Linked DNA regions of Drosophila melanogaster. Changing the gene in region 2 together with the main gene of any one other region gives a genetic interaction. Each region holds a gene or a part of one and is shown on either strand. Other genes may lie near its edges.

The links. Genes that interact genetically often act in the same process or in processes that back each other up.
Region 1: of puc (region 2) and RpL7, changing one suppresses a phenotype caused by changing the other (phenotypic suppression), as found in Drosophila melanogaster (one study listed by BioGRID).
Region 3: of puc (region 2) and mol, changing one suppresses a phenotype caused by changing the other (phenotypic suppression), as found in Drosophila melanogaster (one study listed by BioGRID).

The regions. Positions count from the first base shown.
Region 1 is NT_033779.5:10,197,759-10,203,910, reverse strand, and holds RpL7 (ribosomal protein L7), read right to left. Parts: upstream 2,908-6,152; 5' UTR 2,763-2,907; intron 2,682-2,762; coding exon 2,383-2,681; intron 2,313-2,382; coding exon 1,853-2,312; 3' UTR 1,590-1,852; downstream 1-1,589. Other genes in the region: CG34159 (uncharacterized protein), read left to right, coding at 251-527, 879-1,028; Ripalpha (RPA-interacting protein alpha), read left to right, coding at 3,373-3,495, 3,555-3,620, 3,675-4,079; Sur (sulfonylurea receptor), read left to right, coding at 5,288-5,463. UniProt on the Drosophila melanogaster protein: Binds to G-rich structures in 28S rRNA and in mRNAs. Plays a regulatory role in the translation apparatus; inhibits cell-free translation of mRNAs.
Region 2 is NT_033777.3:8,102,108-8,109,805, reverse strand, and holds the start of puc (puckered), read right to left. Parts: upstream 4,475-7,698; 5' UTR 3,946-4,474; coding exon 3,711-3,945; intron 3,319-3,710; exon of another isoform or gene 3,067-3,318; intron 1,575-3,066; coding exon 1,428-1,574; intron 1-1,427.
Region 3 is NT_033779.5:14,993,471-15,000,847, forward strand, and holds the start of mol (moladietz), read right to left. Parts: upstream 4,090-7,377; 5' UTR 4,046-4,089; exon of another isoform or gene 3,244-4,045; intron 566-3,243; 5' UTR 429-565; intron 1-428.

The DNA.
Region 1 (6,152 bases), on a different chromosome or scaffold from region 2:
TAGGATCTTAATAATTCAGGAATTTCAAAAGACAGTTTTTGAAGTTCATATTAAAGTGTAAATTGGTTAATTTGGAAAACTCATTTGCTAAACTGTATTTAAAATAATGCTTAAAGTAGGTCATGGTCATAAAAAGTTTTTTTTTTTTAATATCAGCACAACAAATACAGTGCAGCTTTCAATCAAGGAGTTTGCTTCGCTTTCATAAAGTTAATGATAAGAACTAAATATATTATTATTTACGCTTTAGACGCTATCCCTACAACATTAGGCGGCAGAACAGCGGGCACAATGCGCCGCACAGCTACCATCACCACCATAACAACAATTCGGCGGCGGGGGCGTCCAATTCGCCGGGATACAATAACCACAGTGCCGGAAACTCTCCGTCCGTCGGTGGCCATAACAACAGCAATCCGCTCTACGCCTCCGCCGCCGGACAGCAGCAGCAACAACAGCAACCACAGAGCCTGCCAATCTCGCAGCACGATGAGCTCATCCGGTACATCCGGGGGGCATGGATCAAGGTGAGCAGCTTACTTGGATCCAAAAGGCCGCTCCTTTGTCACCCTGCTTCGCTTTTCGCACGCGGACATCAGGGACCGTGAACACTTGCTCGTTATTCAGACTTTGCAGTCCAATCTTTTCTTTAGAAGAATAGGAAACGATAGTGGATAATTCCAATTTCGATCAGCAGGATCATTCTATGCATTTTAGGCATCAAGATCTAGTTTAGAAATAGCCAACCTCGAGTCCAACAAGTTACCTTTAGGTATCTTTCTAAAATATTCAAGAGCATTTTGATGGTGAAAACCATTGAGATTCGCGGTCCCCGGTCCAAATTGTCGGTTGCTCTTCATGCTTTGCTCTCTCTCCAGGTCTACGAACAGGGTCCACCTGTGCTGTACTGCAACGAATCCGACAATCAGCTGAAGAACTTTAAGCCATTCGATTTGGAGGAGTACTGGGGCCAGCGCCTGGTGCAGAACATCCATGTGACCACCACGCAGGCCGGTGGACACCAGTAGAAGCGGGAATCTGAACAGCGGACAACGGCATGTGCTCCATGTGGTAACGATTAATTAAATTATACATTTAAAAAGGGTGCCAGCTTCCTCCCGATTATTGACTAATTTCCATGCTATTGGAATTTACAATTTATGTTTGTTTGCTAACTGCTTTGGACTATTGTGTGTGTAAAAAAAAAAAAAACGATTTAAATCCACTGCCAGCTGAAAGGCAAACCATGATTCAATAAAGTGTACATTGGCAAACGATTTTTATCCCTGGCACCCTGAATCTAGCTTGCTATCTGCATTTAAGTGTTGTGCACTAAGCGCGCTTAAAATTTGACCAGAACAACAATAAACAATCTAGAGCGTAGACAAATTAACAAGAATCCTGTGTTTTCATTTCAAATAATGGGCCTACAAAAGCAAACTGTCTAAATTTTAAATTTAAATATTGCTATACATCGAATTATTAACGATTAGCAAACCAAAAAATTATACTGAACGTGGGGTTAATCTTAGCAAAGGGCAAGACTTTCTGGAGTACCGCAGAATTCTTTAAAGTAAAAATGTAACATTAAAATGAAAGAAAATTACTAAATTTAAAGTTGTTATGAAACTATTGGTACATTTAACTAAACGTTCCTTAAAAAAGTCCTCTCTCTCTTCACTGATATTTTCCAATTTAAGTCGCAATGACTAAATCAGCGAATCGAAGCGAAAACACTGCGTTTTTGTACTGAACGGCATTTCGTGGGTTTATAAAAGTAACTTTTATTTCTCTCACTGTTTACATCGAACCGCTGCAGTTGTCGTTTCAGCACATAAATCAAAAGGAGTCCTTAGACCATCTTGCGCAGCAGACGGTTGATCTGGTCCTCGCGGTTGCCGAAGTCACCACCGTTGACATAATGGTTGGCCTTCTTGCGCCAGCCGCCGGTGGGGGTGTTTAGCTTGAAGGGCCACAGGAAGTTGGAGGCGTACTTGAAGTTGGGCCCCACGGTGAAGATCTCATGGACAAGATCCTCGACGCACTGAATTTGGTGCGCCTGACGCAGCTTCCGCTCGATCACGAAGTTATCGGTGATGGGCACGCGCTGGCGGTTATGCTTCACGAATCCACGCTTGTAGATCAGCTCCCGCACGGACTTCAGATTGGGATAGCCCCAGGTGATGTAGGGCTCGGCGATGCGCAGCATGTTGATGGTGGCCTTGTTCAGCTTGATGAACACACCGTTGTTGATCTGCCTCAGACGGAACAGCTGCAGAACCTTGCGGACCTTGGGAGCCACCTTGTTGATACTGTTGGCGGTTAATGGGATTGGGCATGAATTGGTGTGACTTGTGCATGGAGGAGCATTAGAGGACTTACCCGCGGATACGGACGACAAAGGCCAATTTGGCCTCGGCGGGCACGTAGAACTGGTTGCGCTTCTTGGCCAAGCGACGCAGCTTGATCTCGCGCTGTTCCGCCTTGATGTACTCATTCTGGTACTTCTCGGCGCGGACCAGGTTCTCCTTCTTGCGCAGGGCAATCACGGCGGCCTTCTTCAGGCGACGTTTCGACTCGGCGACTCGCTTGGAGATTTGTTTCTTGCTGAACTTCAGCTTCGATTCCGGCACGGCGGGCAGCTTTTTCGCTGCTGGCTTCTTGACGACCGGAGCAGGCATCTGTGGGCGGCACAAAACAATGGCATTTGAGCGGTTTCCTTTCACTTTGGATGGTATTTTTATTGAAAATATCGCACTAACCTTTTACTAGTCACTGCACACGCTGGTAAAAGAAAGGGAAAGAAAGACCGGAAACGTGCTATACGCCAACTTCGGGCTGTCAAATCGGTACAACCCTGCTTTCAGTGCTGCGAAATGCGTGCACACGTGACACGCGCGCCATCGGCCAAACGGTCACACTGGCCGCGGAGTGGGCTATCGAAGAAGTGCCACCACTAGCAGAGCAACAGCAAATTGCGCGGATTTTTTTTTTTAGCAAAAAAGTTGTGTTTTTCAACTATTTCCGATTGCTAATTACTAGGTAAGTTGGTTAAACATGTTAATAGTGTATTTAAGCCGCCCTTAGTTCATGAATTCATTGTGCGAGCTGTCTTCATGGGCTGTGTTAAGTAATACTACTTATTTTATAATCTTTTATATATATGTGGAGATGAGTCGTATCTTACATTTACTTCATTTCACTTAATTTACCTAATTAATTTTGAATACCGTATACTTTTTAGATCACTATCAATCACCAACAGCGCTATAAAATTGGAACCTTGCCTTATTGACGACACTGACCTACCATATCTAGTTAAAAAAAAAGATTAAAAACAAACAAAATAACCACATATACAAATAAACCGAAATGAACTCCACTCAAAGCCCGGTTTATCGCACCTCCGTGGAGCAAAAGCGGCATGCTCAAGAAGTGGCCAAAAGACAGCGGATGGGCAACCAAATGCCAAGACTTCGCGAAATGCTGCGAGAGGTAAAGACATCAGTGTACCCCTTAAAGTACCAATATACTTACACATAAATACCCTGTAGAAATACCGCAAGCGCATCATAGAAACGCGCAATAGATGCACGGATGCCCAACGAGAAATCCAATTGGTAGGACATACAAATCTCCATAGTAAGCCCATCATAAACCACCCATTTTTTCAGTCCGAACTCAGGGAAATCCTGCGCCTGGAACTCAGTGAGCTAGAGAAGGATGTGGAGCTTGAGGAGCTGATTCTGGAGGAGCTACTATCCGATGTCAACGAGTGGTATGCCCTGGGCGAAAAGAATCTGGAAACGCTATACGCAGAGCCCGATGAGCAGCAAAAGGAGGTTTTATGCCCAGTTTGTCAGATTAAAAACCTACGCCATCACAAAGGTGCCTTCATCTGCGAGTGTGGCATCCGCTTCGAGCACTCTGCGAACATGGAACAGCTGCAGATACTGCTGCAACAACAAATCGCCAGCCATGAACTTCAGTGCACTCAGGCCCTGCGATTTTTCATCGAACCCGCTTCGGGACAACTATACGACATGTGCGGCAGCTGCGACTACTTCTCCTCCGTCTAGGTCGTTTATGGAGCTGGTTTCTACCGCTGACTGCTGATAGCTAGTTTAAAGGAGTTTATTAGTTATAATAAGATAAGTTACATAAGTTAAACTTCAGACAGTCTTATCAGTTTGGAAAACCAGAGATCTGCACAGAAGATTTTTTAGATCCGAAGGCTTTATATGCGTATTAAATTTTTGAAACAGTGATACATGATATTCCCCCCCTAATTAATCTAAATCCAAAGAATGATATGAGTTATGGCTAGAAATGAGATCTTTAAGCATATTGTTATAATTGCACAACAAATTAAAATTAAAATCTTAGGAATAACAGATTTATAAAATGTATTCTAGGCTCTTACAAAATTCAAACTAAACCATTCTTCTAATGTGGCATTCTAGATTAAGAAAATAAATCAGGTGCGAGACTAAGTTTGATTTATGAATATAAAACGTTTTTCTCTGCTTATTGTAAAGTTTAACAAACTATTTATTAATTGCTTATAACTTCTGGTTCGCTTCGAGTTGATTTAGTGCATCATATATGGGTCGATGGTATCAGTGGGCTGGCACCCCACGATTCCGGCGATGTGGGAAGAGCTTTTTCCCATCGCGCACGTGCGCGATCCCCCAGATTCAGATTCAGATTCAGATCAGTGCAATATCTTCTCGAGTTCGGGCTGACTGGCACTTCGTCGTTTTTCCTGCTGGCGAGAATGTATGTGCTCAGTGTGGTTAGTGAGCCGCCACGCTCGGTCGGAGTCGGTTGGCCTTTTCTTCTCGCGAAGATTTCTTAATCGCGGCCGAACGTGCGCCACACATATCTCTGCGTTGTGTGTTGTTTATACAAAAATTACTTAAAAAGAATAATAATAATAATTGAATGGCAACCGGGGACGCGGCGCGCTCTTCTCGCTTTGGAACGAAATCCATTGTGGTACCATCCATATGTACATACATATATATATATGTACATATATCGAATTGGATCGGGCATAACACACATTGCACTGCATATTCCCGATTGCGAAATAGTTTGTTTATATTGAGCGATTCTGTATTTGCTGCTCAACCTGTTGGGCGCAAAGTTTTCAAAGTGCTGCCTATGGACTCGATTTAATAGTGAGCGAAATACAAATGATTTTAAATTGAAATCGGAAAAGTGAAAACTTCTTGCAGTGTTCAATAAGCGTTTTGGCCATAAGTTCATGGTTTTATTGGCCATCATGAAGCAGTTGTTCAATATAATACACTGTGATCACTTGAATGGGCATGTTCGCTCCATTTATGACAATTTGAATACAGATATCTGTGGCATTGACCGTGTGCGGCGTGTTTTTACGTTTTTCAGCATTTTTCTGCTACTTTTCGGATTGATGTTTGTTTGCAGTAGATACAAAAAGTGAGTTTTATTCATTTGCGGGATTTAAATATATGATATGTGTATATTTGCAACTTGGGCGGCCAGAGTTGAATTGACACACTTTCAAGTTTAAACTAAAATAATAGTGAATTTCGCTCTGTTTTTTTATTTGTTTATTTTCGACCCAAGTGTAAACATGTACTTCTTTTGTTTACAGCAGAGCAAGCGATTTTTTGCTTGAAATTGTGCAAAGCTCTTAAACGAAAATAAGGTCACATGTAATGGATTTCAAATGATTATCATCAGAAGTTTGATGTCCAGTTTACTCCTTGCTCAATTAGGTCCAAAATAAGAGTGTAAATAAATTCAACAAATGTATACGTATATTTTTGAGAAGCAAATGAGCACATTTGTTTAAATTTAGCACATGCGTTTTGTAGATTAAACGAATTCTGGAGAAATGACTAGGGAGCTCAAGTTTGTTACCTCATTTAGAAATCACACAGACAGCATTTTATGGCCCAAGATAACATAAAACATATTTTAAGTGCTTAATTTTTATTCTTTTGCACGCACTTTAAGTCATTTGCATACACAATCGACTGTTGCTAATTGTTTGTTTAAACAAAAAGTAAACGTGAAAATTTTATGACCAAAAAGGAAGTATTGTTACTTGTTCTCGGAAATTTCTAAAGGTCAAAAGATCGGTATTTCCTTACAGGAAAAAC
Region 2 (7,698 bases):
AATCGCTAGTGTTTTACTAACAAACATTGTAATGACGGTGGTCTATAGATCCCCAAACAGAAATCGATCGGTAATTTGTAAGCGCAGGGAATTGCCAATATCGTAAAAAAATATATTATTACATTTTGGAAGTTTCCTTTGTATTGGTGGTGAATAACGATTGATTATAACTGTGACCTATTGTGAGTCATTGCCACCCCTATATCTTATTCACTTTTTTTTTTTACAGATATGTGAAATAATTTTAAATAACTGTTTCATTAGAAACACTTGTCTCCAAATGTTGCATTGGAAATATATTGACCGATAATGTATATTCAAATCAAATGATTTTTAGCATTAGTATAGGCCTGAGATTATGATTGAACTAAAAATTATTTTTAGTTTTTCATCTATAATAATTCATTACTATATGGAAGATACTGAAGCCCATCACGATGTGATCACACCTTTGTCAGGTGGAAAAGCGGTATACATGTACATATGTACATGCATACATACATATGTAAGTATGTATAAGTTGAGGGTTACCCCACTCAAAGCCGAGATTTAGTACGATGCCCAACGTGAGTAACTGAGTAATATGCAAAAGTTTGACATTGAAAATTTCTCTGTATGACAATCGTTGTTGTTGCTACCTTTGTTATTATTGTTTTGCATATGTTTTGCTGCTTTCGCATACTTTTCATACACATGTATGTACATATACGTACACCACATTTCGTAACGTGCAAAAATACGAGTTAAATGTGCGAGCAAGAGAGCGCTACAGAGCGAGCGATTTATCTCACAGCACGTGCCAAAGCAAAAACAAAACTGTTTGTTTTTAATGTTAAAGCAGAGCTCACAAGTGCGAGAAAGAGATGGGGCGAAATGACGGAAAGATTGTATGACAATCTGAGACAATTTATCGCCATGTTGTACTATCAGAACGGTCAGTTTGTAGAGGGGGTGCTGAACTTGGACCAAGTAGGAAATGAAATGCAATGGTAAGCACAAGCAGCACTATTCATACATATGTACATGCAAATATGCAACAGTAGAACAATCGAGCGATTTCCCGATCGGCTGGCGATATGGTGCCCCTTGAGTTCCGTTCTTGATCGCAATGCTTTGTAACTTCCTAACTAGCACAGTTATTGTGATCAGCTTTAGATTGCAATCTATGCAATCTACTATGAGTGATTAGTGTTTGATTATTTGATTATTTTATCATATCTCTAACAGTTTTCAAGATGCAATGCTCTACGTTTGCATGTGGAAATATTAGGTTTTTAACTTCTTGCATACCAAAATACATGACGATTCACGACTTTTCACATAATTGCCAAAAATTTCTAACCGACTCACAGAGAGTATTGTTTGAAACCCGTCTTCGGGTCGCATACCTTTGCGCTGGGTTCCCCATTTAGCCGACTTTCACTTACCGTAGACCGCCGGACTGGAGCAGCTGCGGGTTAGCGCCGGCGTCCGTCCGCCGCCGTTCATTGCCGTTGATGATGACGTCGTCGATGTCACTTCGTCACATGCCAGATTCTCCCTGGACCGCTTGTTGGGATAGTCCTTCTGATTGGCTGCCGAGGGAAGGAGACGAAGACCAGAAAATACGCATTAATGCGGTGATTTAAAAACTGATTTTAATTGGCGGTTAGCGATTTGCTTAATTTTATAACCCATGATGTCAGCACGGACCGTGTATGGACCGCAGTGCGAAAAACTTGTCGCGCCAGGTTCCCCGTTCAAAAAAACCGCAAAAATATTTCGTTTCGATTGCCGCCTGCCAAAACTGACGTAAGACATTTATTTCGGCTCTAGAGTTTTTTTTTCTTCTTTTTCGCCTGATTACGAGCGAATGCAAAGCCAAAGTTTTCCACATTCGCTCGCAGCTCACAAGTCGCTTATCACAGTGAGCAGGCATAATTAGAGAACGCTTTGTAAGCTAGCCCGATACCAATTTGATAGTATATTATAGTAAAACACAATCCAGATTATTCATTTATAGGTAAGTCTGAACAAAAGCTGTCAATAACAAATAGTTGAAAACTTTTTTAGTACGGCAATCTTGGGTTTTTAATGCTGGTATATTTATGTTCTTAGCATCATTCTGATTTCTTCGAATATTATTAAAATTAATCTTGTAGTAAATATTTGTTTTTAAAAACTTCAAGTACGATTTTCCCCCTACACTAAACTTTAATTTTAAGCCATGTTCCTTGATTGAAGGGTATCATTTCAGCCGTCCGTCAAAAGAAAAAACTTGATAAGATAACCAATGCTACAGTTTGTATTATGTTTTCAAAGTGGTCTTAGGAGTTCGGACTGTGCTGACTTGATCAAATCGACTTTATCAGCCTTGCCAGAAAGTATAGTCTCTTTTATGCTGAAAAGCAAAACAACTTCGAGCAAACTACTGGGGTACAAAATTGCTGTTATCAGCCAAGCGACCTCAAAAGCCAAAAAACAACACAGAAAAAAGCAACAGCCTCAAAAAAAGTACAACCAACTTTTCACCGCGGCAGGAAACGTTGGTTATGTTTTTTTTTTGTCGCTGTTGTTGTTGTTTGCGGCTAGTAAAACAAGTAAAATCGCATGCCAATAGTGCATTGCAAACCTCCAGGGGCGTCTGGGTCTGGAGTGTGTGGGTTTCGAAGGGGGCCTATGGTGTGGGAAACGGGGGGAGTGGTGTGAAGTAGAGTAGAAAATAGGAAAGTGCTAATTAGTATACAGTGGCTTGTTTACTTTTGGAAATGAGCTATGCATCAGCTTTCTGTTCACTATTTTGTCCAACTTTTGGGTTGCGATTCGCCATTATGTTTACTGTTATTAGTAATTCGCTGTTTATTGTCTAAAAAAAACTTGGCAACAAGGTAGTAAATCTTTCACTTTAAGATGATATTAATTTTAAGTGATTTATAAAGCGATTGTAATGCTTCAACTTATATTATATTTAATAAATTTCAACTATTCTGTAAATGTTTTGGAACTTTGACTCAACGAGGGCACCCCTTTTTAGTTTCGCCCCTGGCCCTTGCAACTAACCCTTCCTGCTCTTCCGCTCTTTCTTACCGACTCCCAACTTCAGTTTTGAGTTGTTGCCGCGGCTGTTGCTTTTTCTCCTTCTGCTCCCCTTTTGGCCTCCTCCTTCGCACGCTTCTCCCTTCTTCTGTTGTTGTTGTGCCGATGAATTCGTACTCGAAAGGTCGTTTCAAAGCGGGTTTTTCAGCGTTGCCAGGCCGCTTGAGAAACCTGCTTTGCTTTACATTTTTTCTGTTGTTTTATTTTTTTTATTTGTACTCGTATTTTGTTGGACTGACTGATTTTTTTTTTCATTTATCCAGCCAACAGAAACGAATCGAAACGCTTCTTTTGCTTTTATTTTTGAAAGACACGCGAATTGTGAGTCACGTATGGAGCGAAAAAAAGTAACTGACTCTGAGTCTGATCTCTCTCGAGTTCGTTTCTTTTTGCTTGTTTTTGCTTTTGTAGAAATGAAATGGAGACGCTTACGTGTGCTCCCCCTCTCTTTCGCGCCCCAGCAAAAGTAAACAGCATGCCGAGCGGTAAAAATCAAGAGAGCAAGAGAGAGGGATTAATACGTTCTCCCTGTCCCGCTCTTTTGATTGGTTTGAGTGTAATCTTAAATTGTACGATTTTTCTTATTGCTTATTTCTGTTGATTTGATTCTTTTTTTCGCTTCTTTTTGTACTTACCACCAATGCGATTGTTGTTGTTGGTATTTTGGATTGGCATAAATAACAGAAGACACGGCGCTTCTCGCTTTATCCGCATTTTCATTTCACTTTGTATATGACTCACGCTGTCGCCGTCTCCGTCGCACTCACAGCGTCCGTTGTGGCTGTTGTTGTTGCGTGCTGTTGACGTTGCCGTTGTAGTGTTGTTGCTATTATTGTTGCTGCTGCTCTGCGTTTCTCGATTCACACACATATGCACGCGCTCACACTACACACATACACATGGGGGCCTTTGGTTGTTTTAAAATTGATATATGTATATTTTATTTGTTGCTTTCTGCCCGTATAATAATCTATATTATTTAAGTATGATTTTCGGTAGGAGGGCTTTATTAGATAATCCCCGAGCCACTTGTTGAGCCACTTCCCGTTATAAAGTGTGTTGCAACCAAAAGTCGGGGGCCCAGAAATCGAGTTTTATTTCCACTTGTAGCACGCACACTTATTTTTAATTCATTAATCGAAAAACGCGCGGGTTGTAGATCTCGTTTTTATATTTTATTTTAGTATTAATTGTTTGCTTCCTCTTCTCACGATTCGTGTTAAAATTATTGTATCCAATGATAAATGTTTTTACCAGAAATATTCTAGTTTTAATTTCCTACTGTTTTCGCGCGGAGCTTAGTTATTTTTCGAACTCGTTGTGCAAAGATGTAGACACAACCGTTCGAAGCGGTATTCAAAAGGCGAATGAATGACCGAATGAATGAGCGCAAGACGAATGAACGGGCGCAAAACAAATTTGATAACCGAATTTGATAAAGACGCGATTAGTGTGACCAGAGGCTACTACAGTTAAAAAAGGCTAACAAGCTGAAACTTTACTCTACGCTCACCAAATTCACCAACACTGAAGACTTTGCGGTTGAATTTGAAATTAAAGTATATATAATAGCCACAATTGTTGACAAATGAAGTTAAAATAAGCTATTACATACTTTGACCTATGATCATAATACAATTTTTATTTATTTATTTTTTATTTATTACACGTTAAAGGTTAATTATTTTCGAAACATGCTGACATTTGACTTTGTATAATTGCTTTTGACATGCTGTATATATACTAATTTTCTTTTATCTCGGGCTCAAACCTTTTGTTAGTTTATATTGATGAATTCCATTTATTCATTATAATTTTTATGAATATAGCAATGCTCGTTATAAACCTCTTTAAATTCTTCGTTGTCAAAACATTTTATTTGTCACTACAGAGATGCGCTCATGTCTACCCAAGTGCCTCAGCAAACCAATCCCAACCAAACCCGTCAAACCCCACCTGAATCTCCGCAACCCAGTAACATGGAACAAATGTTTGCTCGCTTCGAAGGAATGGTCGAAAGGATGATGGAGAAGATGTTCTCGCAAATGACGCAGCTTGTTGCTTCCATCCTCAACGCAAAAGTATGCAAAGCCTAAAAATAGTTATTTGGAATGCTAACGGCCTGCAGAGGAGCAGAGCCGAGGTGGAACACCTCCTAAAAACAGATGCCATCGATGTACTACTGGTATCAGAAACCCACTTTTGTCCCAGATCCCATTTTAGCATTAGCGGCTACGATGTCATCCCTGCCAACCATCCATCTGGCAGAGCGCGCGGAGGAGCAGCCATGCTCATCAGGAGTGGCATCCAGTACACGGAGCTACCTGCGTTTCAGGAGGAATGGGCCCAGTGTGCCCTGGCCAGAATCTCCAGCCTACATGGAGACATCACCGTTGGAGCGGTCTACTTCCCACCTAGACACTCGATCACCGAGACTCACCTACAAGATTTTTTTGAGTCCTTTGGACCTCGCTTTATAGCAGCTGGTGACTTCAACGCCAAACACTCCTGGTGGGGGTCCCGCTCCATCAACCCCAAAGGCAGAACGCTCCACAGATTCCTGCAGAGCAGAAGACTGGATTGCCACTCCTCTGGTGAGCCTACCCACTGGCCTTCAAACCCTTCCTTGCTGCCCGACCTCCTGGATTTTGCTATCTCCAAAGGCATAGGGCAAGACAGACTAACTTGCTCCAACTATAACAAGCTGATATCCGACCACAGCGCTATAAAAATGCTTCTCAACATCCCCGTCCTCAAAAAAGAGTTGCCCAGAAGACTCACCGGGAAGCACACTGATGCCTCCAAGTTCACACTCTGGATGCTGTCCTCCCTGCACCCGGATCCTCCACTCTCCACTCCAAGCAACATCGATGCGGCAATCAAAACTCTCACGGATGAGATGTACAATGCTGCTGAGTTTGCCAATCCTCCTCCTTCAACGTCCCCAAGAACTCCCGGTAGAGACCTTCACCTCTGGTCTCCAGAAATTGCGGCCTTCGTAGCGGAAAAAAGGCGCCTCAGGAGAATCTGGTTCTTCTCGCGCAACCCAAGGGACAAGGCAGCACTCAACAGAGCCATCAAGGAACTCAAGGACAAGCTGTGTACCCTACGGCAAGACTCCTTCGACAGATTCCTTGAGGAGCTGGAACCTGGTGACCCGCAACATAATCTGTGGCAAGTCACGCGTCATATCAGGAGGCCTGCAAAGAAGGCGTCGCCGGTGCGCAAAGCGGACGGCTCTTGGTGCCGCTCTGAAGCCGAAAGAGCTGAAGCGTTTGCAGATCACCTCCAGAATGCATTCTCACCATTTGACAGATGCACTGGCGAAGAGCGTGCTGCAACCACCAGGTTCCTAGAGAGTCCATGTCCTCCTAGCCTGCCCATAGAGCCCGTCACCCCAGAAGAGGTTGCGCAAGAGATCGCCTCCCTAAAGGCTAGCAAATCCCCAGGACTGGATCGCATCGACGCCACATCCCTTAAAATGCTGCCACCTCCCTGTTCCCAGTTGTTGGCCAACATATACAACAGATGCTTCTCACTAGGGTACTTCCCGAGATCATGGAAACGTGCAGAAGTCATTCTCATCCTCAAACCTGGAAAACCTGAAGCCAATCTTGCCTCATATAGACCGATTAGTCTGCTGACAATCCTCTCCAAAATACTCGAAAGAGTATTTCTGCGCAGAGTCATGCCAGTACTGGACGAGGCTTGACTGATCCCTGATCACCAGTTTGGCTTCAGGCGATCCCACGGAACACCCGAGCAATGCCACCGGCTCGTAGCACGCATCCTAGATGCATTCGAGAACAAACGATACTGTTCGGCCGTATTCCTGGATGTCAAGCAGGCGTTCGACAGAGTGTGGCATCCTGGACTCCTCTACAAACTCAAGTCCCACCTTCCCAGTTCCCACTATGCCCTACTCAAATCGTATACTGAAGGAAGAGAGTTCCAAGTGCGATGCGGTTCCTCAACAAGCACGACAAGGCCTATACGAGCCGGAGTACCTCAAGGCAGCGTCCTTGGTCCCATCCTCTACACCCTGTTTACAGCAGACCTCCCTATCATACCCTCCCGTTACCTCACAGCAGCCACCTATGCAGATGACACGGCGTTCCTTGCCACCGCAACAAACCCTCAATTAGCATCAGCCATCATCCAGAGGCAACTGGATGCACTGGATCCATGGCTGAAACGCTGGAACATCATGATCAACGCTGATAAATCCTCCCACACCACCTTCTCTCTGCGCAGAGGAGAATGCCCCCCGGTCTCACTCGACGGCGACACAATCCCTACCTCCAGCACCCCCAAATATTTAGGGCTGACCCTAGACAGAAGGCTGACTTGGGGCCCCCACATCAACAGTAAGCGTATCCAGGCCAACATACGCCTAAAGCAACTCCACTGGCTCATCGGTAAAAAGTCCAAGCTGCGTGAGAAACTAAAGATTCTCGTCTACAAGACTATTCTCAAGCCAATCTGGACGTACGGAATTCAGCTGTGGGGCACTGCTTGCACATCACATAGAAGGAAGATCCAGCGATTTCAAAACAGATGTTTGAGAATAGTCTCCAACGCCCATCCCTACCACGAAAATTCCGCCATCCACGAGGAGCTCGG
Region 3 (7,377 bases), on a different chromosome or scaffold from region 2:
AACCTGTGTTGCTGAATTTAATACTTAACCCCCCACACAAACACACATCTCTTGATTGAAGGAGTATGGAAATTGCGCATACGCAACGTGTTACGTGCTTAGGCACGCGGATGTAGGTATCTTATACAGACATTAAGCTTGCCCTCAGTATGCTTCAACTGGGTTTTCCCACTCAGCACGAGTTCTGACTTGTGAAAGTTGAGTGGCTCGAGGGTAAACCAACACGAGGAATAAGAAAGAGAATTATACTCAGATCGCTGGCTTAAGGCTATGAAGTTGGCCAGTTCCGCAATGATTCTATTGTTCCTATTTTTAAATTTGTTTGCAAACCATTATTTCTTCATTAGCCGGCGTTTATTGCGGCAACAAGTCATCTAACATTTATTTTATCATTCAGTCTCATTCATCAAGTCTTAAAGTTCACTTACCAAACTTGTCAAGAAGAAACCGGCATACAAAATAATTGTTATTAACTTTTCGTGTTCACTTTGTTATTTTTTTTTATTTTTGTATAATCCAATTTTGATGTCCAATTTATAGCTTCGAGTTAGCCGTTAAGACGTATCTAAACAATCAAGAAATTTGCATTTATGATTAATGAATTAAATAATATAGACAGGCACAAATTTTACACACACATCGGTTATGCTTGTTGAAATATTTTGCCGAAAATATTCTTGTTTTCACAGCTGTGAACATGTATTCAATTATTTGATTTTAAACGGTTTGATTTATTCGAGATAAATTTATTAGAGTTATTTTTGAACTACATGTTCATTAGGATTTTTTATACATTGCACTTAGTAGATTTATTGCTGAGTTATATAACGAAGCTTTTGTTTTATTATATAGATGTAATTTATAGATTTCAAATAAATACATTTGGTTAAATTATAATTTTTTTTGTCGAATTCACCACTGCCGTAATAAATAAATGTTTAGAATTTATTAAAGAAATTATCCTTTGTTTAACTTCTATTAATTAATTCCGTATATTTAAGAAAAATGTTTTCCTTGCAGTTGCAATTTGCTGTTGCTGACTGCACCCCCATTGAGTCAATGGTTCTTTTTCCATTTTTTTTCATTGCTGCTGCTGCTGCTGGCAGTCAACCGGTTTAACTAGTCAAGTCCGCCGCCGCCGCCAGACTTTGCACATAAATTGCATTTTATTTTAAAAACCCGGTAATAAATTGTTTCATTTATAATTAGAATTTTTGCCAAGCTGACAGTCCGTGAAATCATGTTTGAAGGTGCGAATACCAAACATACTCGTATGAAACTCCACTTGCGGGAGTTCTCAACTATTTTGTTATGGATTCGATATCGTTGTGGTTGTTGGTGCTGCCCCTCTGGTTGACCTTCGCATATTTTTCGGACAGGAATTTGTAAGTCGCTACGATTCGCGTCAGTTTATTGGCTCAATTGCCTGCAAAAACAATGAACGTCGACGTCGGCGATGGACTTGGCACCAAAACGTAAGGTGCGACGCATCGCATGTGGAAATCTTCGAGCACATTACGTTATTACGTTATAAGCGCAAAACAAAAGCGACAACCAGCAACAATCGGACAATGGGAAAAACAGACATTACAGTTACAAAACGAAACGGAAAATATGCGACGAGTAGCACACAAAAGACGCCGGCGCACAGTGGTACAGTTATTAAAAGGATGGTAACATAATAATCCTTATATTGACGTATGAACATTGCAAAATTCATATAATTGTTCTTAAAACATCAACAAACTAACTTTTCAAGCAAATATGAAAACTGAGAGTATAACAATTCATAAACAAAAATAATAATAATAATCTTCAAATATCTCAGAGCTTAGCCATTCTAATTGGTATCACTTCTTTTAAGATTTCATCATAATATCTGAAAAAATTGGGTAAAACTTTTATTGTAACTAGTCAGTTAGTTAGTTATTGTGACTAGTCACCTGGTTTTTAAAATATATTATATATGAAACAATACGGATTAGTGAAACGAATTATTTGCTGAGCCCAAAGTCACGATCCACAATTTTATGCTCAAGAACATTAAATAGCAATAACCCACGGTGCAGCAACGCCCCACAAAGCAAGTGAGGCATCAGCAGCACCAGCATCCAAGTACCGTATGCAGCACACTTGCTGTGCGCACTCTCACTCTCACTTGCTCTCTTTCCCAAGCTCCAACCTCCTTCCATCTTGCTCCAATAATCTCTCTCTCTCTCTCTCTCTCGCACTCGCTCACACTGCCACAGAGACTGCAGCTTTTATTTTCAAGTCCAACGAAAGTGAAATTGCTGGCGCACCCCTTTCCGCCCACTATACCCCTCTCTCTAACACCTTTGCCGGTGGATTGAGGAAATGAAGTAAACATGAAATTGACATAATCAACACGCAGCTGGAAACTCTGCAAATGTCTTTTGACGAGACAGAGACAGCAAGAGAGGCACCAAGAGCTACAACAACAGGTTTCTGTGTCGCCCTGTTGATATTGCTTTTGTTGCTGTTGCTGTAATGCAGTGAGAGAAAATAATTACTCGGAATTGTATGATTTATGTCATATATGAATATTATGAATATCTTGATATTACTTTTTGTAGTACTGTTATTTATCAATATAATCCTTACTAATATATTAATAAAAATATTAGTAACTGTTTAAAACAATTTTTTCCCGTGCTAGCTTTGTTGTTGCTGCTGGCGGCGTGTGTTCAATGAGCGCTGGTGCGTGTAAATATGTAAGAGTTGCCTTCAACCGGCTTTTTCGTGCAACTTTTTTTTTTAGTTTTTTTGTAGCAGTAGTTTTTGTTTTCATTTTTGCGCTGGTCAGTTTGGTTTGAATCATCTGGCCATATAGGAAATGAAACGGGAGATGAAGTAATCCCAACGCCTGACATGGAAATTACATAGGCAAAACGCATCACAAAAATCAACCTGATGCACACACGTCATACAAATTCAACGACAACTAAAAGGGCAGGCAGGAAAATACAGTAAAAGGAAGGGGTATTAAAAAAAATACGCTCTTTATGTACGCTTTCGCGGAAAATACAAAAAAAAGGTTTAAAATTGCTGGAAGTTGTTATAATCAATTTTCTTTTTCATGTTTTAATAAATATCGAAATATCAAAGGTTTAGTTACTCCTGTTACTCCTGTAAGGGTAATAAAACATTGTGTTGGGTAATACTAAAGGGAAAATGTGCATTAGAAATTACCAACACAATTTTCCCGCTCCCACCCACACATACACCCATCACACATACGTTTGAGGAATGGCGGACTCCCTCTTTAGATGTTTGGGAATTTTTTTGTTTGATCTATCATATTTTATTTTTAGTTCTCGGTGTCTTTTAAGTCTCGGCAATCAGTTTGTTACCCAAAAAAATAAATAATTTATTATCCATTGTTCAGCATTCTATTTTTGCTTGAGTATACCAAACTATTTATTTACATATCTTATTGAATTTTTGATAATATGGATTTTGGTATTTTTTTATTTATATTTCTACAGAGAAACTTTTATTTGTATTGCTTCAGAGAAACTTATTTATTTTTGTTATTGTATTGCACTGAATATTTCGCACTTTAGTTGCAAAAAAATAAATTGCAACATTTAATTGCAACCAAGTTGATTAACTTTTTTATGTTTAAGGCAAAAATTTGCTGGCTTTAATTATATTTTATGTGCGCGCAAATTGTTAAGGTTTTTCGACACTGTTGTTTGTTTTAAGCTTTTTTGTTTTATTTTTGCAGACAACCACGAGGAGCAAAGCATAAATAACTAGATGAGCTTCAAACTTAATACCGTTATTTGCGTTATTATAACGCGGCTTTTGCGGTTTCTTTTTGTTTTGGCAAACTTATTTCGGCTTGAATTTTCGATTTTTGATTTTTCTCCACTTTTACGAACACGGTGGTTTTGTGCATGGCATAACACACAGACAAAACAAAAGCAAACAAATAAAAACACAATTCGATTTCGTCTTCGCTGCCTCTCGTTGTTTTTTTGTTGCAACTGATTTAAAATGCGCAGGCGCGGCGGCGACTTACAAAAATCTGCGTCCGTTTCGAGAGCTTGCCGTCGATCAACTGAACGCCGAGAGCGGTGAGCAAAAGACAAAACCTTCCCAAAAGAGAGCAACAGAGCGCCAAAGCTCCAAAGCGATGGGAGCTTTTTGCTCGACCGCTAATTGCAGGCTTAAGTGAGTGTGAATTTATGAAGCAGTCATGTCGGAAAGTCAGAAAATCAAAAAAAAAATTATTAAAATAAAAAATATCAAAAAATCCGACAGGGAACTTGGGCTATATCGCCAGGGCTATTCCTGATCAGGGACCTTGTCCGACTCTAGGCTGCCACACTTTCCAACCGCAAACTGGTTCATCTTGGGCCTGGCCTCACACTAAATTCACAGCCGAGCGGCAAATTATATACTTTAATCAGCCGGGCGAGAATAGCATTGGCACCTGTCACGAGGAGAAATAATATTAGTATAAACAGCTGTGCTCCGAAAATATTAGAACTTGCATTGTTACAAAAAAGGAAACAAAATAAAACTCTCAAACGTAATTTTATCATCTGACATTTTAATTTGGTTGATATAAATTAAGGCCCACTTAAAATATTAATGTATAATGCATTACTGGACATAAAAACAAAAGATTTATTTATAAGGTAGTATGTTAAAATGAGACATTTATTATTAAACCAAAATAAAACTTAATGAAACGTAATTGCATTGTATAATCAAAAATGCAATCGTTATAATATCAAAATTTCAAATTTTAAATTGCAATTTCCACTTTTCATACAACATTCTTTAATTTAAACAATTATGTCAGAAAAAATAGGTGCCAAATATTGGATAATATTAAAACGAATCCTCAAAAACTCCATCTTCGCAGCATTCCAACTTAAAAACCCCCAATACTTTTTCCTTTATTTAGTTATTTGCCAGCTGCTACTATTGCTAATTCAATTAGCATAGAGACCCGTCTGGTAATTAATATTTAATTTGCTAATTGAATTTTTACTAGCGACTACCGTGCCACGCACCAACGCCAAGCCAAATCACCAAGTTAGCCTCCGTGATCTCTGTTTATGTCCAGTCAATCCATCCGACTTGTGAATCTCGACAGTTGCAAATTTGGCTGGTCGACGCCAAAGCCACTTTTCAGCCGCAGTATGCTAGATCTTGTTGTCTTTGCCTTAGTAGTGAATCTTTTATGATGTGCAAAATTAGCCATAAAAACATACATAAACAAAAATGTAAATATTGCTGTAAAATCAGTAATTCATTATACGTAAGGCTCTCTAGAGTTTAGCCGATGTACTTAGTCTTTGGATTTAAAAAAGTATTATTCTGTGTTTGGAAAAAAATGTGGTGCTTAAAGCTGGCTGAAAAACTTCTAAAGTCGTATAACTATTTTTACAGCATGCAATTTATAAAGGAAGTATCTAAACTACTGAAATATTTACTTTATGTTAAAAATGCTTCGAAAAAGGTTTTTAAAACTGGTGTTTAGTTTTTTTTTTTTGCTTATTGGCAAACGGACTTCATCATAATCGATTCCCTAGCTACGAATAAACTTCCGCTACGCAGTCCAATGATTCATTCCCATTAAAATAAATATCTTGGGGCAAACCAATTCTTTTGACTGCTCTCACAGTGAATTCGTACACATGTTTAGTCACCACGAGTTCGTCGCCAAAGTCTTTTGTTCTAGCGTCATTTATATGCAAACCTATCACCTTGATGGGCGATAAAAACCAGAAAAGTCTGAAAAACATAAACAACAGCATCCCGGACCAGTGCAGCAAAGCGGTGACCACAAAGTTGAAATTAACGAAAATTCGCGCGGCAAGGTCAGTTCAAAGCGGTCAACGACTGCAGGCCGCACGGGAATGGCCAACATGAAATGCCCTTTTTCGAACAACAAAAATTTATCGATTGCAAGCAGTAAATAAAAATTATTCAGCAATAAAAGCGAAAAAAAAAAATTAAAATTAATCACTCGACAAGAGGAGATAACTTCTGAGCTACGCATAATGCGGCTACCGTTTAAGACTTAAATGAAAATATAAAAAACAGACACAAAATCCGGATGTGTCGCGATGCCTACGGATTTGGCGCGCCCAGACCGAGGACGGTCGTTGGTCCCTGGGGCCACAGAATCGCCGACGAAGTAGACCACAAAAAAAAACGACGGACACCGTACGTGTCCCATATCAGGAATGCAAACCACGCGGCGGTCACTTTCGGTTGGACATTGTTTCTGTTATTGCCGATTTTGGAACTGCTCGACTGACTCAGTTTCGGCGAACCTCCACTAAAAGCATTCATAACTCAACTGCCAGCTGTCAGCGGCAAAAAGAAGAAAAAAAAAAGCAGATACAAAATATCCCCAGGTTTATACCACGAAAAAAAAAGGGAAAGGGCAGTGTAATGGAAAATTATAATGGAAATAAAGCGAGTGCTGATGCTCTCGGAGTTACTTTGCAATCGTCTCAAGTTCAAGGTCTTCTCGATTTTGCCGTTCAGTGCGATGATAGTGCATTAAATGTGCTGCGATGGGAGATTGTTGTCTGTCGATGGAATGGTAATTGTAGTATAATTATAATGGGCTTAATGGAAGCCGCAGTGCTTGCGATGGCAAATAAGCAGATTGCTTTTAAAAATTATAATAACTTACTGGATTTGCAGGGCTTATGAATAAGCTATGATTAGTAAAATGTTGCAAACGGCTTAAGATTTTCTGTATTTTGTATTATTATTAATTGAGTGATAAAATAATATGTTTATTTCACGCTCCAAAAGGTTTACCCGAGTGAAGCGAACTATGCGTCACTAAAATTGACTTAAAACCAAATAAGGAAGTAATCGACTTGAATGTCAATTACAATTACATACGCACTCAGAGACATGCGCCGAGTAATAAATTAATCAAGTTGCGCATACGCCATGTAAGCCGGCCGACAGTCGCCGAAATTGAATTCAGTCGATTCAGTTGCCTTGATTTCAGCCCGACAAACTATAAACAAGCGAAATATACGTTACGCACAAATTAAATTCATGAAGTTCAAACTCAGAAATTCCAGCAAAAACAGTGGCTACCGACGAATTACGTGGCATGCGGCATGCCTGCCGCCTTTTCAGCCCCCGAATTCCCACATTTAATACATTTCGTTTTTTTTTTTTCTTTGGTCCGAGTGCTCGCAATGAGGAAGGTCAAGTGCAAGCGCCAAATGTGTTTTATATTGTTTTTCACATTAGTCTCAGCTTTTTGTTTAATTAATTTTTAATACAATTTTGGCCGGTGGCTTGTTTTGTTGACGAGCGCGTTGATGATGTGACAGGCGGCGGCACACACACACGACTTGGGTG